Oryza sativa Japonica Group: one gene and its partners. The protein of the gene in region 2 binds, or shares a complex with, the protein of the main gene of each other region. Links are inferred from orthologs where the notes say so. Each region holds a gene or a part of one and is shown on either strand. Other genes may lie near its edges. The genes, in order: rps8; small ribosomal subunit protein uS17c; small ribosomal subunit protein cS23; small ribosomal subunit protein uS13c; rps4; small ribosomal subunit protein bS6c; 30S ribosomal protein S31, chloroplastic.

Region 1 (3,267 bases), on a different chromosome or scaffold from region 2:
TTTAGGAGGTCGACACCCATTATGCGGCATAGGTGTTACATCGCGTATACAACTTAATCGTACACCACTTTTAGCAATGGCTCGTAATGCGGCATCTCTTCCACTACCAGCACCCTTTACCATAACTTCTGCTCGTTGCAAACCCACTGTACGAATAGCATCTACAGCTGTTCTTTGACCAGCATAGGGTGATGCTTTTCTTGAGCTTTTGAATCCACAAGTACCCGCGGAGGACCAGAAAACCACCCGACCTTGCGGATCTGTAACAGTTATAATAGTATTGTTGAAACTAGCTTGAACATGAATAACTCCTTTTGTTATTCTACGTGCACTCTTCCGTAAACTAAAACGCGCATTCCTACGCAAACCAATACGTACTTTCCTACGTGAACCAATTTTTGGTATAGCTTTTGTCATATTTTATTATCTCATAAATATGAGTTAGAAATAACAAAAAGAAAAAAAGATACAAAGATATCCGTTTCAGGGTAAAATATATCCTTTACTTGAATTTTTTTATTTGGAATTTGGACATTTTCGCGGGTACTTTTTTTTTTACTTTTTAGAAAGTCAAGTTCTTTTTTCGAAAGATTACCCCTGTCTTTGTTTATGCTTCGGATTGGAACAAATGACTCTAATTCGTCCACGCCTACGAATCAGTCGACATTTTGTACAAATTTTACGAACAGAAGCTCTTATTTTCATATTTCCGTATTCCTTTCTTAAACTATGAATTTACTCTTTTGGAAAAAATAAGTCTCTTTGTTTGAATTTTAGAACTTTGAATTTTTTACCCTAGAAAAAAAAAAGAAAAACCTAACCCTTTGAATCTTTGGTATCCTTCAAATCTTCGGTATCCTTCGAGTCTTCGGTACGCTTCGAATCCTTATGGGGAAGTCTATAAATTATACGCCCCTTGCTTGAATCATAACGACTTACTTCAATTTTGACCCTATCCCCCATCAGTATTCGTATAGAACTAGACCGGATCTTTCCTGAAATATAGCCCAGGATGATGGTGTCATTCTCTAGGCGAACGCGGAACATTCCGTTGGGTAGGGCTTCCATAACTAAACCCTCGAAAGTAATTTTTGCTTCTCTCGGGTTTTTTTTTTCTCTCCTATTTTTCTTTTCTGTCATATTTTTTTTTCTCCTATTTTTCTTTTTTTATTTTCAAATAAAAAAACGTTGTATTTTTGTTTGAAAAATAGGAAGTTCAAGATAGAATTTGGGTACTATAACTATAGGTGGGGCGATTACCGCTATAGGCGGGCGATTACCATATATAACATAAGACTTCTCCCCCAATTCTGTTTAGTCGAGCTTCTCGATCTGTCATTATACCTCGAGAAGTAGAAAGAATAGCAATTCCCATTCCGCCCAAAACCTTAGGAATTCCTTGATAGTTGGCATAAATTCGTAAGCCAGGTCGGCTGATACGCTTTAAAAAGGTTCTAGTTCTATATATTCCCTTTCTAGTCTTTCTCTTTTGATGTCGCAAAGTTGAAACCAAGAAATATCTGTTACTTTCCTGATGTTTCCGAACACTTTCAATAAAACCCTCTCGTAGAAGTATTTTAACAATGTTTTCGGTAATATTTGTAGATACTACCCGAACAGTTCCTTTTTTATTCATGTCCGCGTTTCTTATAGAGGTTAGTAAATCAGCAATAGTGTCCTTGCCCATAAGACTCTAATTCTAGGTTCCTCCTAATTTTTCTATAATCAACATGTTCTCTTTTTTCTTTTCGTTTTGGATTCTAAAGCATATACGTGAAACACAATCTACTAATTTTTTATTTGATCTATATCTTGTCTACTAGTATTTATAATACTTCAGGAGCTAATGAAACTATTTTAGTAAAATTCAATTCTCTCAATTCCTCGGCGATCGCGCCAAAAACGCGAGTTCCTTTTGGATTTCCTTTTTGATCAATGATAACCGCTGCATTGTCGTCATAGCGTATTATTATACCGTCTTCGCATTTGAACTCTTTACATGTACGTACAATTACAGCTCGAATTACTTCGGATCTTTCTAGAGGCATTTGGGGCACTGCGTCTTTGATTACAGCAACAATAACATCACCAATACGAGCATATCGCTGATTACTAGCAGCTCCTATGACTCGAATACACATCAATTTTCGAGCTCCACTGTTATCTGCTACATTTAAAAGGGTCTGAGGTTGAATCATATTATTTTGATTTCAATTTGTTATTTCAATGCAAAAGGATGAAAGAAATATTGTCTTTCCAGAAAGAAGAACCTGGTTTTTTATTTTCAATACTACTTTTTTTGGGGGGTTATATTTCTAACCGAAGAAATTGACTTCGTATGGGCATTTTGCTGGCAGCTATGGAAATAGCTCGTCTAGCTACAGTTTCGGATACTCCGCCCATTTCATAAAGTATTCGACCTGGTTTAACAACGGCTACCCAATATTCGGGGGATCCCTTTCCCGAACCCATACGTGTTTCGGTCGGTCTTATTGTAACCGGTTTGTCGGGAAATATACGTACCCAGATTTTTCCACCACGACGTGCATATCGTGTCATTGCTCTTCGTCCTGCTTCTATCTGCCTCGCCGTAATCCAAGTGGGTTCAAGTGCTTGAAGAGCATATCTACCAAAACAAATACAATTGCCTCGGTAGGATTTTCCCTTCATTCTTCCTCTATGTTGTTTACGAAATCTGGTTCTTTTGGGGTTATAGTCGATGGTTCTCTCTTAGTTCCATCTCTACTGCAAAACTGGACATGAGAGTTTCTTCTCATCCAGCTCCTCGCGAATCAAATGAGAAAGTGTGCCAAATTTCTCTAATTCCACAATATTCTAAAATATTACGGATAGATACACATTAATAGGAAAGGTTAGGGTTTTTAATATTGAATTTATTAAAATACTAAAATATATAGTCAAGAAAGAGGATCTAGAATATATCTAGATGTGTATGTTTATTTATCTATATTCTATATTTAATGTAATTCTTTTTTTTTTTTTTTTTAATCTCCTTTTTTTATTTTACTCTTATTGAATCGCGGTAAAGTATTCTAATTCAATAAAAATTTCGCGGGCGAATATTTACTCTTTCCTGTCTTATTTGTTAATTCATAACCTTATCAAATAAGACAATTTTTTTGGTTTGTTCCGCCATCCCACCCAATGAAGTATTGGGATTCTTTTCAAGAAAATCCTATCCAGTCATAGGTTCTGTCGTTCCCACTGCTTCTCCTTTAATGGTTAGGTTTGAATCTCGCAATGGAG
Region 2 (3,920 bases):
GACCTTGCCAAAATAGTCGCCTCCCTCATCTTTATCTGCCTCGCTTCAGCATTTGCATTCGTCATCAGATAATTGATCTTCCTATTTTGTCCCAAACTTTCAGGACAAGTATCACAATGCTGGTGATCAACAGATCATTTGTCAGATGTTTCATTTGAGTCTTCCTCTTCCTGGGTGCAGTTCCTGCCTGCCTGGTAATTTTGATCAGCTGCTGGGGCTGGCGCGTCGCATTGCAGTGGAGATTTTCCTTTGCTGGTCTGCAGCCAGAGATTAGTTTTCTCACACCTGATACATCCCGGGCCATCAAATCTTGCAAGTTACTTACAGTAGTAGTACTACACTAGAGAAGTTTTTCCGAACCAAAGAATACTACTATTTAGATTGTTACAAGGCAAGTATTTTTTTGCCAATTTAACATGCAGCTGTTCATGCGTTTCTTGCACATTGGAAATCAAAACGTTGATTCGTATTTGTACTTGGATGGGCAACACGACAAATGCTAAACTGCAGAATGCAATGTCTTTCAATAACGTTGTAAAAGTAAAATCAGGAAGTGAAACAAAATACAGTGATCCTTCACAGGAAGAGATAATTGCTTCCATTAGCCTTGGGAGACTGGGGTGGACGATGCAAGCAAAGTATTCAGGCTCTTCCTAACCACCGCCTTTTATTTTTCACGTGCATGTTTTTTTAACTATTATATATTTTTTTAAAAAAAATAAAAGAAAATTGTTTAAAAGAATATATTAATTTTTTAAGTTTTTTTAAACTAATGCTTAATTAGTGTACTAGTCCATCATTTCGTTGTGCGTGTTGGGAGAGAGCGCTTCCAAGTTGTTCCAACCATCACAAAGAACACGCCCAGCAGGAGCAGGCGATGACTGACTGTTTCTCGTGTTGCTTGACCGTGCAGCATAGGTCAAGGGGTTTGTTTCTCTATAATTAATTTAAGCGGACAGTTATGTAGTAGAATTCTACCAGTATCATGTATAAACAAGTTTCCCGGATGGTTTAAAACAAATATCAAATTGAAATTCTCGAATCATATTAGGAACCATCACAATGAAACCGGGAAGCTTGCTGAAGACCGGGAACGTAGTTCGGAGGTGTTGTATCACTAGTCGAAGGTTATTGAGTTCTTTTAGTCTTTCGATGCTATAGAAGCCCTAAATAATTTCTTCGATGGGATGGGGGCTAGGATAACAGAATTACACAAGCACATTCTACTCTAGTAGCATTATATTGGTAGTATGGTTTCACTGAGTAACAACATGCATATGAGCAGATGAAATGAAAAGGGAACATAGCATTGCTGCTGGGGAAGTTCGAAATCCAGAGCAAATAAAAATCAATGGAGTACATAGTACAGCACAGATTATTACATTACGAATTTACGATTACGGGAGAAGAAAAATCCATCAATCGGAGGAAGGAGGAGGCGTGGGTGGCTGGTCCTGGTCTTGGGACTGGGACTGGGACTGGAGAGGCGGGAGGAGCTGGGACTTGCGGCGGGTGTCGCGCGGGGGGAGGGGGACGGCGAGGAAGTGCTTGGTCTTGGAGATGGGGCGGGAGCGGCGGAGCTCGACGACGTCGCCGACCTTGAACTGGTTGTCCGGGTCGTGCGCCTGGTACTTCTTCTTGATGCGCTCCCGCCGCTTGTACTTTGGGTGAGGAGCCAGCCGCACCACCTCCACCCCCACCGTCTTGTCCGCCTTCGTCGTCACCACACGCCCCGTCAGCTGCTTCGCCGCCTGGATCCTCAGCGCCGTCGCCGCGCCCGCCCACGGCGAGGCGCCGCTGCCCCCATTGCCCTGGACCCTCACAGGGGACGACACGAACGGGGTGGTCAGCAGCATCTTCAACGCTCTCTCTTCCTTGCTATCGTATCCTTGGCTGCCTCTCCACCCGTGGAAGCTCAAGAAGAAGCTGAGCCTGATGGACGGGTAGGGGATAAGGTTTCCGGTCGGACAACCCAGCATAATGGGCTGGCTACTGCAACATCACCGGCCCAGCCCATTTGAAAACACACTAGCTACTGTATGTATGCGTGCGTTCGTCTTGAAGCCGGATGGAAATGGAAGGTCAGCCAAAGCAAGACAAATGTGCTCATAACTCGCACTACCCAGACGTTAGGAGTAAGCGATATGCCGCTACATAGGCCTACGAATCTCAGGCTTGGATGATCAGGAGTATTTTCTTTTACCATATACCCTCTCAACTCACCTTGAACATCAGGCTCAAAGCTTGTTCAATCTTCCTTTTGTTTCAGTCTCAATGTTTGTTCAATACTTTTTTTTTATTGGGGAATGAATCAATACAACCCTGTCGAGCACAAAAGGAAAAAAAATAAAATAAAAGAGAGAAGACCCTACACCTAAACTCTTGGACCCATAAAATACACGCTACAAAACCTTTCCAACAACTCTATGTTGCTGCTGGGGTGCCAGTGCCAGTGCCAGTGGAGTGACAAAAAAACAGAACCGAGTCCACTGAACTGACCAGTACAATAGAACCTACAATCAAGCACAGCTCTTCGACCCAATCGACTCAATAAACCAAAAGGGAAGGTACTAGCCTTCATTCTGTCTGTCGTGGTAATTCTTTCTTACCACTCACTTGTGCTGAGGACAACGCACATGATGCTCTCAGACAGCAGTCCTGTGCGAACCAATATATCACTAGCAGTGGAGCATACAAAACTAACCGGCCAGAATCCATCACATCATAAAAATCACACACTGGCGCTGCACGATGAGTTCCCTTTCTTCTCTTTGCTTCCGTCCCAACGTATAGTAAAGAATAGACAACCAAAACAAATTCCGTCGGTATCCTCATACTCCGTATCTGCCTAATCTCTGAACGACCGCTGGCTCTAGGGTGGACATGCACTGTTCCCAACCCCCACTTCCGAGCATCTATGGAAAATGTTTTTTGTTAGTTTGTTGCATGTACGGTACCGATACAGAACCGCAATGAGGAATCGTTTTACCCGCCCTAAGAAAAAAAAATATATACCTGCTTGTATCCATTCAAAATCTGGCACACTTCATTGTGTAAACCTTCACTCTTTATCTCCTGTATAAACAAATATCGTGAGCTTCGGTGCAGAATACTGGTGCAGAAAGCATGTCTAATATGACAGGAATCTCACGTTCCAACTTGCACAGGCCTGGCAGATAAAAGTTAGTGAACCCACAGCTCCAGTTGGGTTTGCTGCTACCTAGTATAGAATGACAGTATTTTGTGTAAGTCAGACAGCTTTGTAAATTGTAACAGTAAGCAAAAGCGTGGATGTACCATTGCACATAGACCATGGAATGCATCCTCTTTCTCAAAATCATCTCGTATCCTGTACATGACGAAAATTAGATCCATAAAAGGGCACCAGAGAGCTTAAAGGACAGACACTTACATGCACAAGGCATTGCACCAGGCTTGCATGAAATGGTCCATGTGGGGGGCCACAATGTCTGGACAGACCCAGCAAAGCCTCCCAAGAGTGATTGCGCTATTTTCGAGAAGTGACTTATTCAAGCCCTGTAATAGTATGTCAGGACACACGAGGCATTTAGCTGAAATGCTCACTCGAGTAAAAGACGTGATGAGAACAACTTAAAATGCAATTACCTCAGGAGATTTTAAAATAGGCACCAAGCAAGAAACAACAGTGATAACCACAGGTGAAATTTCTTTGCCAATCTGGAAAGGAATAATCAGTTAGACATACCCACAACAATTTTACAAAATACCAATGAGTACTAGCACGTCATAGGCACAGAAATAAACTAGGAGTGCATGTTGCTGGCCAAGTTTAGTGTCAAAGTTGCCATGTGGCAAATGTGATTGGCAGTAGAAGCAGTAACAAAGGTTTAAGGTATATCCTGGGAAACAGGTATGGTACTAGTTGCTCAGAAAAGAAA
Region 3 (4,523 bases), about 12 Mb from region 2:
TTTGTCACTGCGAATGGAGGGCTTTTGACGTGCGATTTTCCTGATCTTTTTTCTTGGCCGGCGTTGGCGTTGTTGTTGTTTTGCAGGTGGTCGGCGATCGCGACGCACCTGCCGAAGCGCACGGACAACGAGATCAAGAACTACTGGAACACGCACCTAAAGAAGCGGCTGGCCAAGATGGGGATCGACCCGGTCACGCACAAGCCGCGCTCCGACGTGGCCGGCGCGGGCGGCGGCGGCGGAGGTGCGGCCGGCGGCGCGGCGGGCGCGCAGCACGCCAAGGCCGCGGCGCACCTCAGCCACACGGCGCAGTGGGAGAGCGCGCGGCTCGAGGCGGAGGCGCGCTTGGCTCGGGAGGCCAAGCTGCGCGCGCTCGCGGCCTCCGCGACCCCGGGCGCGCCGCACCTCCCGGCACCCCCCGCGTCGGCGGCGGCGGCGGCGGCGGCTCACGGCCTCGACTCGCCGACGTCCACGCTGAGCTTCTCGGAGAGCGCGGTGCTCGCCACCGTGCTGGAGGCGCACGGCGCCGCCGCCGCGGCGGCCGCGCGCGCCGCCATGCAGCCCATGCAGGCGTACGACGAGGCGTGCAAGGACCAGCACTGGGGCGACGTCGACGCCGCCGACGTGGGCTTCCCCGGCGCCGGAGCGGGGTTCACGGGCCTACTCCTCGAAGGCTCCTTGAACCAGATCCCGAGGCCGGCGGGGAGAGACGCGGAAGCCGACGGCGAGTTCCAGGAGACCGAGGAGGAGAAGAACTACTGGAACAGCATACTGAACCTGGTGAACTCCTCGTCGGCACCTATGTCGACGGCCGTGGTTGTGCCCGCCTCCCACGCGTACTCGCCGGCGCCGGACTTCTGAGCGGAGAAAACCTCGCCGGCATCAAACTTGATTCGATCTCATGACACAGTAAATAGTTTAGCAATGATTGTCGAATAAGATGGGACTAATATTAATGTTAGTAATTATTAATCACGTTCTTGGGTTAACCTGACAATGCTTTCGATTAAACTTGTGGGCAAGAACTTCAACTGTTCAAGGCTGTATCGACATTTGAAATTCGATGCTTGTTTTGTTCGGTGTTCTTATAGAATGTGTAAAACACTGAAACTACTATCAGAGAATGTAGCATCCTTACTTGCAAAGTTACTACTCCTGCTTGTTTTTTTTCAAAACTTACGATCATTTCAGTACTTTGTACCCGGTTCATTTCATTCCACTATCAGTTTTTACTACGCCCAAGCGGTTGGCAACTGGGCACTAGCACTACTGAAGGCCAGGGTTTCCCAAACCACCGGACCGGGGTTACCACACGGTAACCGTGTAAAATTTATCAAAATTTAAAATTATTTTTTAAATTTATTTGAATTTAAGGGGGTTACCGCGGTTTCCCTTTTACCGTACCCCACGGTAAGCGCGGTAATCGCACGGTTACAGACGGTTTTGCAAACCCTGCTGAAGGCAAACGGACGGCCTCATCTTTTCGCTTATACTTATGTTTATCAGTCAAAATTTAAATTTTTACCTTTAAATTTGGGGTTGATTTTATTTTTTTTATCGAAGGTTTATTTTTCAGTCTTTGCTTTTAGATCGTTAAAAATATATATATAAAAGATTTATTCACAAATTATTTTTTATTTACAAATATGCCATTTCGTTTATTCTCGAATAACCGAGACGATTGAGCTGTGAGCTTTTTACTTAGATTGGATCTGGGCCGGGCCGTTTTGTGCTGGGCCATATTGGGCTTTACCATAACTTTCTAGCCCACATCTAATAGCTGACGAGAAGGGGATTATTAAGGGTAAAGATAAGAGGAGGCAGCCCCGCACCATCGTCTTCCTCCTCTTATCCGCACAGGAGCCTCGGACTCGGACACGATGCTGGCGATGTCCGTCCACCCCGCCGCCACGCCGGCCCTCGCCTCGCGCGCCCGCATCTCCCGGCCCAAGCTTTCCGCCGCCTCCCCCTGCACCACCTCCTCCTCCTCCACTCCACGCCTCGTCCACCTCGGCAGCAGGAGGCTTCCCCTTCGCTCGCTCCGTGGCCTCGCCGCCGCCGCCGCTTCTGGCGCCGTCGAAGCGGAGGAGGGAGAAGAGGAGAAGCAAGTCGGAGGTGGGGATGCGAGCGCCGGCGAGGAAGCGCAGGAGGTAATGGGCTAGTAGCCGCTCCAAACCATGCCAGTGACTGAAATTACGGGGTTTTTTTTTTTACCGAGTCGAGCTCAATTTCAGAAGGAAGTGTTGTTTTTTGAAGAGGATGGAGTTCAATCACATTTGGTTTCGCATGAATTTGATTTTTCTTGAATCAATTTTGGTTACCGAACTGATTACTTGAGCTCATAGGTGAAATACAGTACGAGGTGTACATTTGGGTGAATTCACGAGTAGAGTAAATCTTTAGACACAATGCACAGCTGAAAGCTTAAGAGAAGTCACAAGTAGAGTAAATTAGAGAAGTTCTAGTCTAGTTGAGCATGTTTGGGCACTCGGGCTGTCCTTTTGGTGCAGTTTTGCACTTCTGCAGATAAAAGGTGTATGCTAGTGATGAAGAGGCGAAGAGCACATGAAAGCATGTCCACAAACTTGAGCGTGTGCCATTTTTGGTTGTATGTGTAAGCAAGAACTGAACTATTGAACAAACTGTAGCATTGACAGGTTTTGGTCATGAAAGGAGTTTTTTTTCATTCAGCTATTTACGTGATTATGTAACAACATTAACAGGCACAATAAGTTCCTTTTTCATCACTATATCAGATTTCAGAGATGTACACTAAAAGTGGATTAGTTTTGATTATATGGGAGTTACCCTCACAGTTGAAAAATGGGGCCTTTTGTAGAGAAATGAAGTTGTCAATGGAACACGTACAGTAGTTGTTGCAATTTATTTTACTACGACTTGAGCTGTGTTAAAACTGCACAATTTATTTTACTCAGATATGCAAAATCAGTATTAGCATTATGAGATTTGAAACGAATTGATTTTGTATCGCAGTACAAGGTTAAGGTGCCTGAAAGGCAGGATCCAATGCTTGTTCTGAAGTTCATATGGATGGAGAAGAACATTGGCATAGCCCTCGACCAGTTGGTTCCCGGCTATGGCAGCATTCCGTTAAGCCCATACTACTTCTGGCCACGGAAAGATGCCTGGGAGGAGCTAAGAGCAAAGCTGGAGGAGAAAGAGTGGATCTCTCAGAAACAGATGATCATCCTTCTGAATCAGGCCACTGATATCATCAACCTTTGGCAACAGGGTGGTGGCAGCTTGTCAACCTAAGAGGATATCTCAATTCTCCCATCCTTGAGAACCTTGTTTCTTTTTTTCTTGCTTTGGTTACACGGATCTTTGTTGTTACATGACCCTGTAGATCGATTCAAACTGTTTTCGGATACGGTTTTGTTTATGGAAATGAATTGTGATTGATCTCTGTAAGGTAAACGATTTGGGCTCCATCATCCGCAGGGAAGATTGCTAATACCTCTTGATACTACTATACCATGATCCAGTTAAATAAATGTAACTCGATATTTTGAACTTGAAGAAAAAGGGGAATTTCTTTTCTTTCGAAGAGATTTGGGGTCACGGGGGCATATACCCCTTCTACTGCGATTAACTAACACCGGTGATGCCCTGAAAAAGCCCGGCCCGCTCCGCGCACCACGAGCCTAGGCCGTCCACGCGTAGGCCTCTGCAAAACGGGCTGCGGCAACGCGTGAGCCTGTGCGAAACGAGCGTGAAAACGCTCGTGGACTCGTGGAGTCGTCGTGGTGCCCGCGCGTCGTGCTGCGACGCTCGTTCTCACGCCGCATGCAGCGCCGCGCCAGCTTGGTCACGGTCTCAAAAGCGTTCAAAAGGCATGGGAGCAACTGAGCAAGGCGTAGCAGCTTATCATCATCTCGGCCAAGGGGGGAGGAGGGGCAAGGCACATGGAGGCGTTGGGTTGGAGTTGGACCTCCTAGGTAGGGAAGCAGGAAGCTGGACTCGCTAGGAAAAAAAATAATGGAGAACCTGTACCGCGTGTACCAGAAGATAAGCTTATTTAGCAGTACTGATTTTTTTTTTTCTAATGAAAGGAAACAGAGTATTGTTAAGTCCCAAAGAGATAACTTATTTTTTTCCTCTTCGACAACGTAGTACTAACTTAGTACTAGTACTGTTTTCTATGATCAAAGTAGAATATTGTTAAGCTAGCTAGCACTACCAACTGTCCTCCCATAAGAAAAAGGTAAGTACTACTACTATAGTAGAGACTGACCAATCAACTCAATTGTGTAATGCACTGCTCAGATGGCATCTTTACCTTCTTAACACTCAACTTCCTTACAGAGTAACGTGCCGCTTTAGGCTTTATTACTTGCGATAACCGGAGAGAGAGGCTGGCAAAGTATACGTAGCTTCCCTATAAAGTTGTCCAAGTTCATCGCAGAGCTCCAGGCAGGCAGTATAAAAATGGGAAATGTACACCTGAAAAGGACGAATCAGCCCCATTTGGGAATCCCCTGCACGGCGTCAATCTCGTCATC
Region 4 (4,772 bases), on a different chromosome or scaffold from region 2:
AAGAATTCGCATTAAAGATGGGCTAGTGCTTAAGTACTGATTCAAGTATCATGATTTATTATCTTAATACTATAGCATTGCTCTTTTGCCAAGTTTTCGGGCACAACACTACAACAGGAGATGACGGTGTATTATGTTTCATGAACTGTCTTTGCACTTTGCACGTCTTCTCCGTTGACTTCAGGATTTACTTAGTTGTGGACGGGTTTGGTGGTTGATCTGATTGTATTATCTGTTTCCAGTGATACCATTTTATCTACTCATCACCATTCTTACTGCTGTCTTGCAGGCTGGTAGGGCACTAGGCGATCTAAGATCACTTAGGGAACTGTATGACTCAAAAACACTAGTAATTCTATTCCTCATTGGAACTGTTGCTGTTGCTCCAACGATTCTGAAAAGGAAGAGAATATACGAATGATGCCACTAAAAAGCATCTAAACAGTGTATTAGTAGAGCACTCCAGAAGTGTATTAGTTTTTTTTCCCTTTCTTTGTTGATATTGTATACCTATTCAATTTAGCTGTAGAGATGTAGTAGTAACATGATGAATGTTTTCCTCAATAATAGATGACGCTAAGCTGTTGCATCTGTTGCCCCAATGTTCTTATAAATCCCCACGTCCCAATTAACGATGCGGTGGAACTATCTGGTTGTTGTGGTTTTACAGTAAATCTTACTGCTCCCAATTGGATGGGCAACCTTATCCGTCGTTTTGAAATGATGTGTTATTTGCCACCAATTGTCCTATTATCTCCATTTATTTTATTTTCACTTGAGACATTTCTGCAAGATGATATTCAGAACGTTCCCCACAGATTATCCTAATACAAAATGCAATACGAATTAAACTTACATTTAGTAGTACCTAAACTGTTACATCTAGGATTATAAACGTGCTGAAATTCTTTATCCTCCCACAAAAACCCCAGAAATTTATATTCAGAGGAAGCTTATGCAGTTCTTTATCCTCCCACAAAAACCCCAGAAATTTATATTCAGAAGAAGCTTATGCAGCATAGCTGATCCTAAAGGCTACAACATATTCTTCTTTTTTTCCTAGAGAGAGGAGAATATTTTCTTTCGTGTTTACTCCCTCCATCTTAAAAAAAAGCTTAAAAAAAAGAAAGTCAGGAACATAACTTAAAAAAGCTTTAAAAAAAAAGAAAGTCAGGAACATAACTTAAGACTGTGTTCGGGAGGAACTCACCTCTCGCGCACGTAAAACGGAGCGAAGCATTTTCTTATGATTAATTAAGTATTTATTAATTGTTTTTGAAAAATGATTTTTTAAAAGCAACTTTTGTGTAGAAATCTTTAAAAAAACACATCGTTTAACCGTTTGAAAAGCGTGCATGCAGAACACAAGGGAGATGTGTTGGAAAAAGTGGGAAAAGAACACAGCCTAGTACTAACTTAATAGCCTAGTACTAACTTAGGGTGTGTTTAGTTCACGCTAAAATTGGAAGCTTGATTGAAATTAGAACGATGTGACAGAAAAGTTGGAAGTTTATGTGTGTAGGAAAGTTTTGATGTGATGTAAAAGTTGGAAGTTTGAAGAAAAAAATTGCAACTACGGCGTTATCTAGATATGGAGTACTCCTAGCTTGTTCTTTTTTCTTTTTCTTTTTTTAACAGAAGGAGTAAACTAGCGACTTGACCTGTTTGGGCCGTACCCTGCAAGGCCCAACCCAAGAAGTCGCCGATACAGTGGTAGCCTACAGGTGCGGCTACCTTATCGGCTTCCTTCCCGTTGGGTTCTATCCGAGACAGCACCGAGAGCTCCGGGAGAGAAGCGCACGCACCTCCGTCCCTCGTCGGGAGCGCAGAAATGGCGACCCTCTCGATGGTCTCCGTCCCCATCGCCACCTCCTCCCTGCCCCTCTCCGCCCGAGGCCGCAGCTCCTCCGTCTCCTTCCCCGTTCCCAAGGTGAGAAGCAAAGCCACCCCTCCCCCCGCCTCCCCCCTCCGCGCCCACTTCTTGTTCGGCCATTTGCTCGCTCGTCCTGTTCCTTGGTTCTGTGCGATTGATATGTGATTCACGCATGACGCATCGTACATCCGTATCACTTATTGCAACTCAACCCCTGGGATCGTTTTGTTATCTTTGCCATCTTGGAGGTTGGGGAGGCTAGTGGCCGTGCTTTGTGTACTACAGTACTAATTTTGAGTATGTGCAATTCAGTAGTTTTTTTTCCGTGATGTTGGAAGAACAGTGTTCCTGTGCAATTTTAGAATTATTGGCATCTGTGAGGAACTAGTATTTATATGCTTGTATGCTTATGAGTTTGAATCTCTGCCCCTAGCACATATCATGTTGGAAGAATGGATAGTGTTACGAAGTAGTATTTCTTTGGACAGCAGAGTGTATATGTAATTCATGTAGGGACTAGGAATAGCAAAGAAGGTTAATTATGCATATAGGATGTAAAAAGAATCGTAATTCCTTGTTAGTACTCCCTCAGTTTCATACTATAAGTAGTCAAAGTTCTTTAGGTTTGACCAAGTTTAAAGAAAAAATTTCCCCACCCCATTATCTTTACTTGCCCAGTCATTTGTAGGCCTGTGCTTTTAACTGTGTTGTGGTTTTGATTCTTTTTTTTTTATTATTGGGTACTGGACAGAAAGGGGGTATTGGTCATGGTGGCCTGCGGATCGAGTGCATTCGTATTGGTGGAGTGGAGATCCCGAACCACAAGAGGGTAGAGTACTCACTGCAGTACATCCATGGCATTGGGCGGTCACGCTCCCGTCAGATCCTCTTGGACCTCAATTTTGACAACAAGGTCACAAAGGACCTCTCCGAGGAGGAAGTCATCACTCTCCGTAAGGAGGTTACCAAGTACATGATTGAGGGAGACCTTGTAATGGCCCTATCCCTTGCTAATTCATCACTTAACTTTTTTTCTGTAATTTTGGTGATTAGTATGGTTACCCTACTTTGGTACTTCCTCCGTTTCACAATATAAGTCATTCTAGCATTTCCCACATTCATATTGATACTAATAAATCTAGATAGATATATATGTCTAGATTCATTAGCATCAATATGAATGTGGTAAATGTTAGAATGACTTACATTGTGAAACGGAGGGAGTAGCATGTTGAAGATTCCTTGAAATTTGGTACCCTTAAACTGATCGTTCTGAAAAAAAAAAGACTCTGTAGTTCTTTTCCCATTTCTGTCATCGTGGATTTATGTTGTGTTGCTAAAATAGAGTTCTGATGTGTTTGCCATGCTTTACAGAAACGGTTTAATCGTGTGGCGATTGAGAGGTTGAAGGAGATTAGGTGTTACAGGGGCATCCGCCACAAGCTAGGGCTGCCAGTTCGTGGACAGAGGACGAAGAACAATTGCAGGACGCTGAAGGGAAGGAGGGCTTCTGTTGCGAAGAAGAAGTCGCCTGCTTCCCAGGAGGAATAAGACACATTGCCATGTATTTACCTTTGGTTCTTTGCCTCTTGTTTATTTTTTGTGTTCTGCTTGACCACGCTCTTGTCTGGTATTATGAGATTTTATGTTGGTGTCGTCATAGATGAATCACGGGTTGTGATCTGTCACTGAAAAAGTTATATTTGTCACCTGTCTTACATGAACTGATGCTAAATTAAGGTTATACTATGTTTTTCAGTCCATCATCTTGCTGTCTCTCTTCTGTTGTCATATCTATGCTTGACCGACCTGTTCCTGATGAATTAACGTATCGCCAGTTTTCTGTCCATTTGTTCCACATGCCACCGTCAGATCTAATGCCTTGTTAACTTTACAAGCTGAAAGAGGAGTATCAGTGTAGCTGAATAATAATATTAGGAACCTGCCTTGCTGATAGCAGCAGACGGGGCTTTTAACTATTTGCCACTCTTACGAATGGTGCTTAACGATTTGCTACTAGACCCACATGTCATAGACACATGAGGGCCCACATGTTATTGGCAGGGTGTGGCAAATCGTTAATTGCCATGTCACAAGAGTGGCAAATAGTTAAATTTCCCGCAGCGGACACCAGTCGAGATTTTGGTTTTTTGTGAAGAGATGATTTAAACTTGAGTTACCAATTACCATGATTACCATGCGTGTGGTTGGAACATGGAACTTTCTGGAGAGAGCTGCTCGGCTCAATCTTGGCTTGTTCACTTTGTTGTCCAAATCAACCATACCAAATTTTGTTACATTTCGGTACTACTGGCTTTGTTTGGTTTGATATCTTACCAAATTTTGGTAGAGGTTTAAGAGGAAGCTTCTAAGACTCCCAAATTTTGGTTTAGTAGTAATGGTTGAAGTATGTTTACTTTATTGTTCTATAAAAATTTGGCAATACCGAAATTTGGTAAAGTTAAGTGACAAAAAAAACAGACCCTTAATAGAGCGACAACAGAAGAGCCATTACAACAAGAAGAAATGAAACGTTGTACTCAGAAAAATTAAAGATAATGATGCTCTAACGGTCCTGCTTGTAGAGTTGTAGGGATGTTGTGTTTCTTGTTTGTCAATTGTCATATGTCAGTGAGATCAGATAAACTAACAATTTTCTGGCAAGCTGACAAAAATGTGATACAATTTTTTTAATTATAAGATATCCATTGATTGATCGATTGAGCACGTTCAGATTTCAGAAACAGTTCGGTTTATCCAATACCCTGATTGTTATTTAACTCTGAGCCGCGACCATGTCTCCTGGTTTTGCATGGCTCCAAAACAAGCTCGAACCATGGTTAATCTTGAACCACGAACCATGATTAACCTTGAACCATGGTTCAGTCTGTTGACAAGT
Region 5 (3,808 bases), on a different chromosome or scaffold from region 2:
AAAATCATACTCTATCTATATTATTAACGAATATGTATCCCAACCCATCTCGAGGTATTTGTATCAATACCTATTCGGAAGATCCCTTTTTTCTGTGCCAGGAACCAGATTTGAACTGGTGACACGAGGATTTTCAGTCCTCTGCTCTACCAACTGAGCTATCCTGACCTTTTCTTGTGCATCATCCTAGTAGAGTATTTGTATCTATGTCAATATCCAAAATTTGGAAATGGGGAGGGGGCAGTCCTATGCATTGTACAAAGAAAGCCTATTTAATAATATTTAAATATCGAGTTAATAATCGACATTCCTTGCCGATACTATAATAAAAAAGAAATGTATTCCATTGAATCTTAAACCTATTAATAAAAAAACAGGATAAATACTAGAGTTAGGAATAAAAGAGGGTTTGGGGATAGAGGGACTTGAACCCTCACGACTTAGAAAGTCGACGGATTTTGCTTTTACTAGAAATTTCATTGTTGTCAGTATTGACATGTAGAATGGGACTCTCTCTTTATCCTCGTCCGATTAATCCGCTTTTAAAAAGATTTCGAAAACTATGAATTGAAGGATTTGATTACTCAATATTCGATTGGAATGGATTCACAACAATTCTAAAAAAATTATGAATTTTCTATTTCATAATCATTCCTATTTTCATTTTAAAAAAGAATTAAAGAACCTATATTATGATATGAGTTCTGTGATTAATCGTTTGCTATGCCAGTATCTATACGTGGTATTAGATTTCGAAAGCCCTTCTTTCCCTAATTTAGAAGGGAGTTCCGCTAGCAACACAACGTAATTAACTCGATTCGTTAGAACAGCTTCCATTGAGTCTCTGCACCTATCCTTTTCCTTTGGGTTCTAGTTCGAGAACCGCTTGTTTTCTCAAAACATGGATTTGGCTCAGGATTGCCCCTTTTTTAATTCCAGGGTTTCTCTGAATTTGGAAGTTGCCACTTAGCAGGTTTCCATACCAAGGCTCAATACAATCAAGTCCGTAGCGTCTACCGATTTCGCCATATCCCCATTTTCTTTTTCTTTGAGACCAGGATTCCTTGTGCAATTTCCTCCATCTGTTAGTTTTTTTTGAATCGTTGAATTCATTACTCTATGTAGTCTAGCGGTTCGTCTCTAGTTGAGAGACTCCGCTTATTGCAATTCAGCATTGAATTGATTCTATCGTTGATGTATTTGCAATTCAATGCGAATCAATATATCCCAAGGTTTTTCTCTCCCCCACCTACCGCGTTCCTTTTTTAGAGTATTCAAAATCATACTATAACGCTTGATATTCATTCTTTTTTTTTGCTAATCAGAATTAGCAATTTCATTTGCTATGATTCTATGTTCTCCTTAGTGAAATATTAATCATTAAATTATTAGCAAATAACAAAAAAAAACAAAATAATCTCAAAAAATGTCTATAATGATGGACTGAAAATACAAGAAATTCGCATGTTCTCTTTATTATGTTTTCGTATATAATATATATTATTTATTCTTTTCCATGTATTAGATTATTCGTCCGAGCCATATCAAATTAAAAATATCTAAAATCAAATTCAATATAGAAATTGGAATAGATTCTATTAGAAAAATAGATTTGCGAATTAGAGAAAAAAGAAAGTTCAAAAAAATCTATCTAACTTTATTTTATGAAGTTCTAGTATTTTTTTCTAAGTAGAACTTCCAATTTCGAACTAGTTAATAGCTAAGATTAATAATTAAGATCTGACATTTTACGGATTTCCTATACTATACATATTTCTATTTGTTACACTATTTCTGTTATGTAAGCCCACTTAGCTCAGAGGTTAGAGCATCGCATTTGTAATGCGAGGGTCATCGGTTCAAATCCGATAGTCGGCTTTTTTCTCTATCAATGTTCCATGAACAAAAATACCTCTTTTTCTCCGAATTAAATGGAGAAGCCAGGATCTATTATGTCGGTCTACCCTACAATTTTGCTAGATACAAAACAATAAAATAAATAATATATATACAAAAATTCAGATGTTGATGAAATTCCATTTTTTTGTGGTACTTTTAGTAGATTTTACTCTGTTTATCCTTTACTTTAATTCAGTTTTAATTTCGATGTATTCTGTAATGTAAATACAATGAAATTAATTGTGTAAAATGAAATTTCAATAAAAAAAGGAGTCTTCATGTCCCGTTATCGAGGACCTCGTTTTAAAAAAATACGCCGTCTGGGAGCTTTACCAGGACTCACTAGAAAAACACCTAAATCCGGAAGTAATCTGAAAAAGAAATTCCATTCTGGGAAAAAAGAACAATATCGTATTCGTCTTCAAGAAAAACAGAAATTGCGTTTTCATTATGGTCTGACAGAACGACAATTACTTAGATATGTACATATCGCTGGAAAAGCAAAAAGTTCAACAGGTCAGGTTTTACTACAATTACTTGAAATGCGTTTGGATAATATCCTTTTTCGATTAGGTATGGCTTCAACCATTCCCGAGGCCCGGCAATTAGTTAACCATAGACATATTTTAGTTAATGGTCGTATAGTCGATATACCAAGTTTTCGTTGCAAACCCCGAGATATTATTACTACGAAGGATAACCAAAGATCAAAACGTCTGGTTCAAAATTCTATTGCTTCATCCGACCCGGGGAAATTGCCAAAGCATTTGACGATTGACACATTGCAATATAAAGGACTAGTAAAAAAAATCCTGGATAGGAAGTGGGTCGGTCTCAAAATAAATGAGTTGTTAGTTGTAGAATATTACTCTCGTCAAACTTGAACTTAAGGAAAAACGGAAAGGTTCATAGAATTTTTCTTCCCTTCCCCTTTCCCCGAACTAAATCGACCTAAGGCTCTTAATTCGTATTTTCCCATTCACCTAACAGAAATGGATTAACCCTAGGATTCCTTTTTGTTTTTTGTTCTTTCCTCTATGTGTATTTTACATACCATAGTAATTTGGTATAGAGAATTTCTATTAAATAAAGGTATTGTATTATTGCTGGAATAAATTGTCATTTGATTTGATACATTGTAATCATTAACGTTGCTGAATTAAGAAAAACGGAAAGAGAGGGATTCGAACCCTCGGTAAACAAAAGTCTACATAGCAGTTCCAATGCTACGCCTTGAACCGCTCGGCCATCTCTCCTCCATAATCTTATTATGGAAAAAAAACTGAGTGAATAGCGAGTTTTCCTATTCCTGCAGTACAGGTACAACCACAACCGCGCGAGAGTTCCATTGTTCTATTAGATAGAAAAATTCCTTTTCATCTAAGTGGACGGGTCCAGGATTTTTTTACTAGGAATTCCGCTCCCTCGAAAAGTTTTAGTTTGGGTTTTCCCCAAACCAAAGAAAAAGAGAATGGAAGAATTCTTCTTATTCGATAAAAAAGGAACCCTAGAATTCTGTTTGCATAAGGTATCCTACCCCATACAATCAAATAGAAAATAGGGTATGGGACGATTAATGACTTTTGAAAATGCGAAATAGTTGATGAGAGAAGTTGTTGTTGAGAAAAGAAATAGGAAAGTGGAATGAAATCCAATCTTAGTCAAATATTTTCTATCTCTTCTTGTTCAAACAGAAGGAAAAAGAGAGAATTTGGGCTGAGCAGAAATACCTCTCTTATCCATTTGGAGCATAGGGATCGATTTGATAAGAATTGAATGGATTTGTTTTTTTTTTATGTTATTTTGTGAAGGAATGAAAAGAATTCTATATAGAATGATAGAATGGGTTGGGAATTATGCCTAGATCCCGTATAAATGGAAATTTCATTGATAAGACCTTCTCAATTGT
Region 6 (4,787 bases), on a different chromosome or scaffold from region 2:
TATTCTATGCCGCCTTCCAGGAGGAGAGAAGTAAAAGAAGGAAGGCACCTGAAGATGACAGGCGGTATGTGCTTTTCCATCCTAGTTTCATTTTCATGTAGTGTCAGCATAATCTGAAAGTACATGCTGTGCTCATCAGATCAAGAGAATACAGCAAGGACCGCAATGGTCAGGCATCCAGGGATAGAGATTCAGAAAGAAAGGACAGAGTTGAACCTCGAGAAAGCAGAAGAGACCATGATCGTGATCGGGATAGGCGCCACGATAGGGACCGCCGCCATGATCGCGATCGGGATAGAGATTATGACCGTTCGCGTGGCCATGATTCAAGGAGAAGGGAACGTTCTCGATCCAGGGAGCGCAGGTATGGTTCAATGGTTTCTTTGCTCACTTCTCTCTGCCTTTCTTGTATAGCGATTTATTCCGACCATAAACTTTTGACAGTATAATGACAAAGAAACACAATGAAATTATCTGCTTTTGATATGGAAACCTTTATATCACTAGGAGCTAACATTAGACAGTTGTTATTTTCAGGCGCCACGATAGATACTGAATCTGGTGCTCCATGATGGCTGATTTTGGAGTATTCTGGTTTTTCTACATGATACTTGTGGTCCTCCGAGATATTGTGTTTGTTGAGCTTTTACTGAAGAACTCTGGAGCATGGATATATGCCGTCAGACTGTGCTGTATGCATTTGTTTCTGACCTACTATGGTTGGCCAGCATATACTACTTTATATCATACTTATGGTGTACCAAAGACGATTTTGTGTTAATCAAAACTAGTTTTTCCCAGCCATCAGTGTGTTTTGCCCTCTTATCAGCTAAATGCCCTGGTAGTCTTGATGTTAAACAAATGATCAAAACTCAACAAATGAAATGCACGGTAAGGCAGCCTATAAATGAAATGCCATGGCGTACAGGAAATGAGCCCTGATTTTGTTAACAGCATAACTTGTTCCAGAGGCCCCAGCAGGCCATGCTCCACAAAAGTGTTCGTTCAATATCCCTTAACGTGTAGGAGTACCAGGTAAGATCAGAGCAGTGCTATAACGAAAAAAAAGGAAGACAAATTTCTTCTAAATTATCAACAGAAAGGGCGACATTTTTTCTCAACGATTGCAGCGAAAAACCAATCTCCTCCCATGGCAGTAGGATTCTTGTATGATATAAACATATTCCCCAAAACATGGAAACCTGAGTCCAGGTGGTGAAACTGATCTTAAAAGGCTTTCCGCTTGCGGACCTTGAAACTGGTTGAGCGGATGACATCGTCGTCAGCATTGAGCCTCATTTGCAGAGCATCCAGGGATTCAGGCTTGGTGAAGTATGTCACAAGGAGGTAGATTCCGTCGTAGTAGGTGGATGGCAAACCAGTCCTGCTGTTCCTCTTCCTGATGCTGTATGCCAGTGGGATGACTCCTCGGTTGAAGACTTCCACATACATGGCGCCACCCGCAACAAGGAGCTGCAAGACATGCGAAAAACCACCATAAGTAACTCAGTAAGCAAATTGCAGATAGGTTTGTAGCAAGTGAACATCTTATGGAGTGAAGTCACACTTCAGGATACCATCAAATTTAAGGTTACAGAATGGGCAAGAGGCTTGATTGATCATCAACCAAGACAATTATGGGACAAAAAAAAAAAAAGACCAAGGTAAACTTGAATGCGTGTTAACTGGTGATTGCTACTACTCCTACTAAACAATGCAGGAGATTGTGCGCGCAGGATGGAATGATGGATATATAATAACAAAACTATTTTTTTGGTAGGTTCTGTAGTAAACGTATGTTCTACAGCAGAAACAATTTTATGCTTCCTGTATCTCCACTATGACATACGCAAATAATATGGGGCTGTAGCTGTTGACCAGAAAGTATACATTTGCAACAAAATGATTTGCTTCAGCTTCACCTACAATGACTGATATATGATTTTAAGCAATGTTAATGACAGAACGAGCCAAATGACAGCATTTTTAATAAGAAACAAGTATGCCATTAACTCATCCTGGTTTACCATAAACTGGGAAAAGATGACAAGTTCATGCATTGGCCAGTACAAACCTTCCTAGAAATTCATGTCAACTGCAGGAGCAGGTCTGCAGCATAGCCCAAATCCAAAATGCATTGGCGTCTAGTCAATGCAGCTAATTATTTACCACTAGTAGTGATTTTGAGTTTTACCAGTGTGCCATAAATTCAGCCCGATTTACCATAAACTGGCAAAAGATAAAATTCTCATGCATTGGCCACTACAAATCTTCCTCGGAAATTCATGTCTACTGCAGCAGATAGCAAATGCATTGGCGCCTAGTCAGTGCAGCTAATTATTTACTAGTAATTTTGATTTTTACCTCCTCGTAACGCTGTATGAGGGCGAGGCGCTCCTCCTCGGACATGTCGGGGCGGAGCACGACCATGGTCTCGTACTGGCGAAGCCCGGGCGGGCACGGCGGCATCTCCCGCTCCTCCAGCGCCAGCGCCGCCTCCGCGGCCGACATCCCAAGCCCACCGCCTCCTATCCCTAGCCCAGCACCGAACCCCGAGGACGAACCCTCCTCATCCCCCACCTCGTCGTTCTCGCCACCGGCCGCAGCCGCCGCCCCGCCGTAGAACCCCGCGGCGTATCCGGCCGACACCACGCGCGCCACCCGAGCCGCCGCCCTGCGCGGCGCGACGCGCAGGCGCGAGCGCGAGGGCGGGAGAGTCGGGAGGAGAGCGGTCGCCGCGGCGGTGGAGGAGATGGAGAGCGCCATTGGTGGCGGCATTGGAGAGCGAGCGCGAGAGAGTGGAGGTAGGCGAGGTGTGTTGCCTTCGTGTCCAGTGGATAGATAAGGATAGGATTTTTAGATGGAGGCCCATTAAACCGGTTTTTGTTGGGCCGGGGTTAGTGGGCCAAATGGACCGGCTTTTGATTGGCCCAGGTAAAGGTTCCAGCCACTTCGCTTTGCCTAAGTTTTTTCATTTTTAAATTTTTATTTTTTAATATTTACAGAAATATTGTACGGCGAAAACATTTACAGAAGTAGATCCCGAGGGCGGCAAGGTGATGTGAGGACGGACAAGATAAAAAAAACTAGAAAACTGTATTTTTTACAAGGTGAAAATTGCATTATATCTCGGTGCAAAATACGCACACCTTGCCACCCTCCACTTAGGGAGCGTTCGGCAGGAGGAGTTTGTGAGTTAGTTTGTTTCATTTTTCGCACGCACGCTTCTCGAACTACTAACGGTGTGTTTTTTGCAAAAATTTTCTATATGAAAGTTGCTTTAAAAAATCATATTAATCTATTTTTAAAGTTTAAAATAGTTTATACTCAATTAATCATGTACTAATAGCTCACCTCGTTTTACGTATCTTCCCAATCTTCTCTTTTCCCCTCCTCTCAAACTCACCCTTAGGTGTCAGGGGTAATTTATGTAAATATTTTGGATGGTATAATATTTTTTAAATATTAAAAAATAAAAATTTAAAAATGAAAAAAATTCTCGCTTTGCCTCTGACTTCGTGTCCAGCCGACAGTATAGCTGAGCTGGCAGTCCGTTCGTGTCACTGCAAGTGGGCCCCACGCCGTACTTGCTCCACGATAAGCTCGTGCTCTGCTCTGCTCATCTCTCCGCGTGCTTCTTCTTCTTCTCTCTCTAAATTTCTCCATTCCGCTCGCGATCTCCACTCGCTTCGTCCAGATCTCCGCATCAACCCACAGGTAAAGTAAGAAAAAATCAATCTATGTTTCTTTCTACTTGCTCTCGCTTCGTTTTGGAGGATATTTGTGCCTCAGATCTTGTTGCCGTGTGTAGCCTAGCCGTGTAGAATAGGAAAGAGAAAAGAAAGCAATCTTTCTTGTGATCAAGTCTTTGGTGATTCTTGTGGAGTTAGCAATGGCGTGCGATCTGTTTGCTTGATTTGATCTTGCTGTGAGATCTTGATTCGATCGCTTGTTGTTGTTGCTACCTGAAGTTAGCGAGCATGTCGTCTTCGTCGGAGAACCCCACGGTGACGGAGCGTGGCGGCGGGAAGGACCGCCGGGACGACGACGGCGGCGAAAAGAAGGAAGGAGGCGGGGGATTCATGGAGAAGGTGAAGGACTTCATCCACGACATCGGGGAGAAGATCGAGGGGGCCGTCGGCTTCGGCAAGCCCACTGCCGACGTCTCCGGCGTCCACATCCCGCACATCAGCCTCCACCGCGCCGACCTCGTCGTCGACGTGCTCATCAAGAACCCTAACCCGGTCCCTATCCCGCTCGTCGACATCGACTACCTCATCGAGAGCGACGGCCGCAAGCTCGTCTCCGGCCTCATCCCGGACGCCGGCACAATCCACGCCCATGGCGAGGAGACCGTCAAGATCCCCATCTCACTCATCTACGACGACATCAAGAGCACCTACAACGACATCAAGCCCGGGAGCATCATCCCCTACCTCGTCAGGGTCGTCCTCCTCATCGACGTCCCCATCATCGGCAGGATCAAGCTCCCCCTCGAGAAGTCCGGCGAGATCCCCATCCCCTACAAGCCCGACGTCGACGTCGAGAAGATCAAGTTCCACAGGTTCTCCTTCGAGGAGACCACCGCCACGCTGCATCTCAAGCTCGAGAACAAGAATGACTTCGACCTGGGCCTCAACATGCTCGAGTATGAGATGTGGCTCGGCGACGACAGCGTCGCCAGTGCCGAGCTCACCGAGTCGGCAACGATCGAGAAGCAAGGGATCACCACCATGCAGGTCCCATTCAGCTTCAGGCCCAAGGATTTCGGCTCTGCTGTCTGGGAC
Region 7 (4,134 bases), on a different chromosome or scaffold from region 2:
TTTCCTTTTTCAAGAATATATGTTTTGTGCATTGTTTGTCTCATCTTGTCAAGTTACCACTATGGATGTTGTCCTGTTGATTGAAAAAAATGAGAATGAACCCTAGTATTTCTTAATATAAAAATCTAGTGCATTGGTTGCAAACTCTGTAATCCAAATGATGGTTTCATTAACAGAATCAGGGTAAAACCTTATTCTTCAAATCAAAATGCATCAAAATGAAAAGCAAAATGTCTTGTTTCATGAGGTTCAGTTGTTGTAATAGGTTGCAGCCTTGCAGCAGGTTGGCATCACACTGGACCCTGGTTTCAGTCCAGTGGAAGACAAGTGATGTTGCCTCTAGGTTCGGAGAGATAACAGTAACAGAAGTTGAGTAAAAGTGACAACTGACAACTGCTCTATTTATCCCCCTCTATTTTTTATATGCTGTAGAGGTGTGAACTTATCAAATGTTAGGACTGTGGGAAAATGTTTGGTTTGTTACTTCACCAAATTTTTGAACAGATGGCGGGTTTGTTTCGTACGTTACCAAATTTTGGTAAGGTAGGGATACTCGAACATATTTGGTTCGTTATCTTACCAAAATTTGTGATGGCTTGAAATGGTAGCAAACAAAACATGCTTCAGGGTTTAGGGTTCTTAAAGCCATTGCGTAGCAGGGTTTACACTTCCAGTTTGGGCCAAAATTGTAGTATATTTCGGGCGAGATAGTTGCTTACCCTTGTGGGCGGGGGGAGCAGCTCACAACAAACTTGCAGACGAAACAACAAAAAATGACAGAATTTTAACATACAATTACCACCAAGCTGACCAGTTGAACTGGTTTGTTGTCCAGCTTTAAAGGAATATGTTTTGCAGATCATCAAAACAATTTCTTGTGTCAAAACTCAAGCGCATAACAGAGTCAACAGACAAAACAACAAAAAAGGGGCAGATTTCTGACCCGATCTGATGGACTGGTTTATTAGTTGATTCTTAAGAACTGCTTCCCAGATCATCACAACAAATTCGAAGCATGTCAAAAGGTGCTTGAATTCAGGGACACAGCTAGAAAAGAAAAAAAAAAGAGATACTGCATCTTCCCTGGTTTCTAGCAAGAACATGAAAGTTTGGTGATTGTATCTGTACTTATGTTCTGCTTCAGCTGGTAATGCATAAAAAATGACTCTAAGCAGCACCATTCATATATATTACAAGGAAAGAAATCATAGGCATCTACATTATGTAGAATGAGACCATGTAATGTACTGTAATTAATTTCAAGAAACAGTGTTTGGTACAGACTAGACAAAAGGTAAGCTCAAGGTAAACCATAATTCAAGGGGGGAAATTCAGACAACCTATTCCAGGATGTCATCGTCGATGTCGATCGGGGTGACCTCGCCGTCGTCGAACTGGTCCTTCCTCGGAGGCGCAGGCGGCGCGAACAGCCGTGCAGGGCCAGTTCCCTTCTTCTTGTTGCGCGGCCTCGCCTGAGATGAGCAAACAGCAGTCAGCAGATGGCAAGTCTGAAGAATTGCAGCAAACAGCAGCACAGGAAGCAATAAGCATATGATTTTTTTATTAATTTTATTTTTGTGCTAGAGACTCACATTTCCGTACGAGTGGTTGAACCTTTTTCCCCTCTTGGTCTTCTTGTCCCCTCTCCCGCAGTAAACTGGTCACACCAAATGGAGTAATTTGAGTTGGAATCGTAATTGGTTCAAACTGCGAGGTTTTTGTTTCAATCTATGTTTTGGTGCTGTATCAATTGAATTCGTGCAATACGATTTGAAAAGCAGTTTCATATAAGATCATCGAGCCAATTTCACACCAGACTAATCCGAATTGACGAACAAAACAGAGACAGGGAGGTTAGGTAGGCATGTCAGTTACCTTCAAGAACTGGAGTGAGCGGGGCCGAGAGGGTGGCGGCGGCGGCGGCGGCGACGCGAGAGCGGGAGCGGGAGAATGCGGCGGCGGCGGGGAGCGCGCAGTAGGAGGAGACGGCGGCGTGGTGGTGGGAGGAGGGGAAGGTGGCCGGGGACGCGGCCATGGCGTGGACGGCGAGGAGCGCCATGGAAGCGAGAGAGGAGTGAGAGCTTGAGGAATGGATGGAATCGGATAAGCTGTGCGTGCATCGGAGTAGATAAAACGGAGGGAAAGGGAAGCCCAGGCCCATGGATTGGGCTTTGTCTCTTGGGCCTATGGACCAAGCCCATGATTGGCTTGGCCCTCTGCAATTCTGATGTTTCTCTTTCTTTTTTTTTTGTCCTCTCATTTCTTTTTCTATAGATAATCATTTTTTTATGATTAAATTATTACTACTAGTATAAAACTTATGAAGAATATAGCAAAGTTATGATATTTTTAGGACTTCTGAAGACAAATCTAGCCATAACGTTTTTAAGATTTTAGAAATCGAAACGTTCAAAATGATATTGATGGTTAAAGCTCAAACACTGTTATGAATATTAGTGGAAGAGATGAAAAACCAGTGTTTTTAAGTGTCTTTGGTTCTGGGAATGTGACTATAGCGTTTGTTGAGTATACAAAGTACAAACAAATAGTTTTCCATGATGGCACCTGGGCAATTAATTAACCCAAAAAACTAGTTTACATATTACTAGTTTCAAACATTAAAAGCTCATATTAGTACCATGACACTTTCTGCTACAATTACTGACTAATAACACAAGTTCATGGCACTTTGTAGACAGGCAAGGAGAGTGTGCATAAGCAGGGCTTTACATAACTTCATACAGTATATATGGATTATGGAGCTACAGATGCAATCCAAACACAACAAAAAGGCACCATTAAGCATTATGAGTATCTGATTGGCACAAAAACTTTTCAGCGACAGAATTTTCAAGAGACTGATAGCTGCTATGTATATGTTCTTTATTTTCCTTGGAACTCATACTGTTCTTCTTACTTCCTTGAGCTCACTGCATAATCACGGGGACCAACTTGCCTCAGTAACTGCATCAGCAGAAGGAACAGGAGATAACCAAGTTGTTTAGCCATGTAGCAATGCTGAAAATAAGGTAAACAGAAAGAGAGAGAGACAAGGATGTAGTACAACATACCTGAAAATATGATTCCAGCTTCTGCTTCAGAGTGGCATGCTCCCTCTTCATCTTCTGAAGAGACCTGCGGCATCTGAAAGAGAACATGGCCTCATCACATCATGTGAGGAAATTGCATGATGATTGGATAGTATGTGAAGAACAAGTTGGACGAGTCAATGAAATGCATACCCTTCCAGATTCCTGTCATTGCAGTTTACTTTGAACACAGAGCACTCATTCTTCATCCTCAGTGCACCAATGCTGCGCCAAACACAGGCCAACTTTAGCGAATTTTGAACACATAAAGCAGGCAAAGATGACAAGCTTTCGGTGAGAACATTCATATTAACAAATAATATTTGTTCATTTCACATCAATAAGCATTCTTAAGTTTGAATGTTTTTATATTGGTTATTTAAGACCTAAGACATGATTTTACACTGATGAGACCTGTAAAAGAATATTGTTCACTCTGTGTTCTGGGCATATGCCCCAGTTTTATACCTGGATCCGCTGCCTTTGAGTTGTTGCACAAGAGAATCTAATCTGTAGAAATCCTGAGGGTATTTATCACTGCATCAAAAGAAATGGAAGTAAATGTAATTGTCATGTCTTTCAAATCATGGGTAATCATTGTACAAAAAATCAATTATCTATTCATATCGTGGATGCAGACATATTACTTACATTGCTTGTTCTATATTTGTCAACAGTCTTGATGAATCTTTGAAGAACAGAGCCGCAACTTCCTCAACAAAATTGGGGCTTGATTCATCCTGCAGTTCTTCCAGCTGATTAAACTGTTCATCAAGGTAACCCTGCAGGAAAACCACGAGGTAGATTATAGGCAAAAGAAAGAAGCATGAAATACACAACCAAAAAAAAAACTTTTGTGCAGTCCATATAATACAAATAAGTGTACTAATTTACAAGGGTAAATCTATATAATTAGTCAAAGATTAAAAAAAAAGTCAGGTTCCAGCAAGTGACTTACTCCCTTCGTCCCATAAAAAACGAATCTAGAACCGGATGTGATATTTTCTAGTACTATGAATCTGGACGTATATATGTCTAGATTCGT

Evidence for each region.
Region 1: small ribosomal subunit protein uS17c (region 2) and rps8 share a complex: the UniProt entries of both Arabidopsis thaliana proteins name them as parts of the 30S ribosomal subunit. The link is inferred for Oryza sativa Japonica Group from reciprocal best matches to the Arabidopsis thaliana genes RPS17 and rps8.
Region 3: small ribosomal subunit protein uS17c (region 2) and small ribosomal subunit protein cS23 share a complex: the UniProt entries of both Arabidopsis thaliana proteins name them as parts of the 30S ribosomal subunit. The link is inferred for Oryza sativa Japonica Group from reciprocal best matches to the Arabidopsis thaliana genes RPS17 and PSRP3/1.
Region 4: small ribosomal subunit protein uS17c (region 2) and small ribosomal subunit protein uS13c share a complex: the UniProt entries of both Arabidopsis thaliana proteins name them as parts of the 30S ribosomal subunit. The link is inferred for Oryza sativa Japonica Group from reciprocal best matches to the Arabidopsis thaliana genes RPS17 and EMB3137.
Region 5: small ribosomal subunit protein uS17c (region 2) and rps4 share a complex: the UniProt entries of both Arabidopsis thaliana proteins name them as parts of the 30S ribosomal subunit. The link is inferred for Oryza sativa Japonica Group from reciprocal best matches to the Arabidopsis thaliana genes RPS17 and rps4.
Region 6: small ribosomal subunit protein uS17c (region 2) and small ribosomal subunit protein bS6c share a complex: the UniProt entries of both Arabidopsis thaliana proteins name them as parts of the 30S ribosomal subunit. The link is inferred for Oryza sativa Japonica Group from reciprocal best matches to the Arabidopsis thaliana genes RPS17 and AT1G64510.
Region 7: small ribosomal subunit protein uS17c (region 2) and 30S ribosomal protein S31, chloroplastic share a complex: the UniProt entries of both Arabidopsis thaliana proteins name them as parts of the 30S ribosomal subunit. The link is inferred for Oryza sativa Japonica Group from reciprocal best matches to the Arabidopsis thaliana genes RPS17 and PSRP4.

What each region holds. Positions count from the first base shown.
Region 1 is NC_001320.1:75,422-78,688, forward strand, and holds rps8 (ribosomal protein S8), read right to left. Parts: upstream 1,688-3,267; coding exon 1,277-1,687; downstream 1-1,276. Other genes in the region: rps11 (ribosomal protein S11), read right to left, coding at 1-417; rpl36 (ribosomal protein L36), read right to left, coding at 592-705; infA (translation initiation factor 1), read right to left, coding at 817-1,140; rpl14 (ribosomal protein L14), read right to left, coding at 1,827-2,198; rpl16 (ribosomal protein L16), read right to left, coding at 2,308-2,709. UniProt on the Arabidopsis thaliana protein: One of the primary rRNA binding proteins, it binds directly to 16S rRNA central domain where it helps coordinate assembly of the platform of the 30S subunit.
Region 2 is NC_089038.1:35,899,877-35,903,796, reverse strand, and holds small ribosomal subunit protein uS17c, read right to left. Parts: upstream 1,926-3,920; 5' UTR 1,857-1,925; coding exon 1,419-1,856; 3' UTR 965-1,418; downstream 1-964. Other genes in the region: transportin-1, read right to left, coding at 2,832-2,915, 3,016-3,075, 3,152-3,220, 3,298-3,349, 3,413-3,537, 3,628-3,699. UniProt on the Arabidopsis thaliana protein: One of the primary rRNA binding proteins, it binds specifically to the 5'-end of 16S ribosomal RNA. Required for optimal plastid performance in terms of photosynthesis and growth. Required for the translation of plastid mRNAs.
Region 3 is NC_089038.1:23,519,750-23,524,272, forward strand, and holds small ribosomal subunit protein cS23, read left to right. Parts: upstream 1-1,828; 5' UTR 1,829-1,880; coding exon 1,881-2,150; intron 2,151-2,994; coding exon 2,995-3,276; 3' UTR 3,277-3,438; downstream 3,439-4,523. Other genes in the region: transcription factor MYB106, read left to right, coding at 87-861. UniProt on the Arabidopsis thaliana protein: Component of the chloroplast ribosome (chloro-ribosome), a dedicated translation machinery responsible for the synthesis of chloroplast genome-encoded proteins, including proteins of the transcription and translation machinery and components of the photosynthetic apparatus.
Region 4 is NC_089037.1:29,173,313-29,178,084, forward strand, and holds small ribosomal subunit protein uS13c, read left to right. Parts: upstream 1-1,737; 5' UTR 1,738-1,831; coding exon 1,832-1,930; intron 1,931-2,624; coding exon 2,625-2,864; intron 2,865-3,247; coding exon 3,248-3,424; 3' UTR 3,425-3,639; downstream 3,640-4,772. Other genes in the region: uncharacterized membrane protein At4g09580, read left to right, coding at 290-421. UniProt on the Arabidopsis thaliana protein: Located at the top of the head of the 30S subunit, it contacts several helices of the 16S rRNA.
Region 5 is NC_001320.1:43,785-47,592, reverse strand, and holds rps4 (ribosomal protein S4), read left to right. Parts: upstream 1-2,177; coding exon 2,178-2,783; downstream 2,784-3,808. Other genes in the region: photosystem I assembly protein Ycf3, read left to right, coding at 3,756-3,808. UniProt on the Arabidopsis thaliana protein: One of the primary rRNA binding proteins, it binds directly to 16S rRNA where it nucleates assembly of the body of the 30S subunit. With S5 and S12 plays an important role in translational accuracy.
Region 6 is NC_089037.1:36,415,548-36,420,334, reverse strand, and holds small ribosomal subunit protein bS6c, read right to left. Parts: upstream 2,811-4,787; 5' UTR 2,779-2,810; coding exon 2,365-2,778; intron 1,474-2,364; coding exon 1,228-1,473; 3' UTR 924-1,227; downstream 1-923. Other genes in the region: uncharacterized protein, read left to right, coding at 21-64, 140-364, 538-556; uncharacterized protein, read left to right, coding at 3,981-4,787. UniProt on the Arabidopsis thaliana protein: Binds together with bS18 to 16S ribosomal RNA.
Region 7 is NC_089039.1:5,295,425-5,299,558, forward strand, and holds 30S ribosomal protein S31, chloroplastic, read right to left. Parts: upstream 2,106-4,134; 5' UTR 2,060-2,105; coding exon 1,876-2,059; intron 1,658-1,875; coding exon 1,593-1,657; intron 1,509-1,592; coding exon 1,341-1,508; 3' UTR 950-1,340; downstream 1-949. Other genes in the region: pseudo histidine-containing phosphotransfer protein 2, read right to left, coding at 2,914-2,964, 3,072-3,144, 3,243-3,314, 3,558-3,626, 3,741-3,871.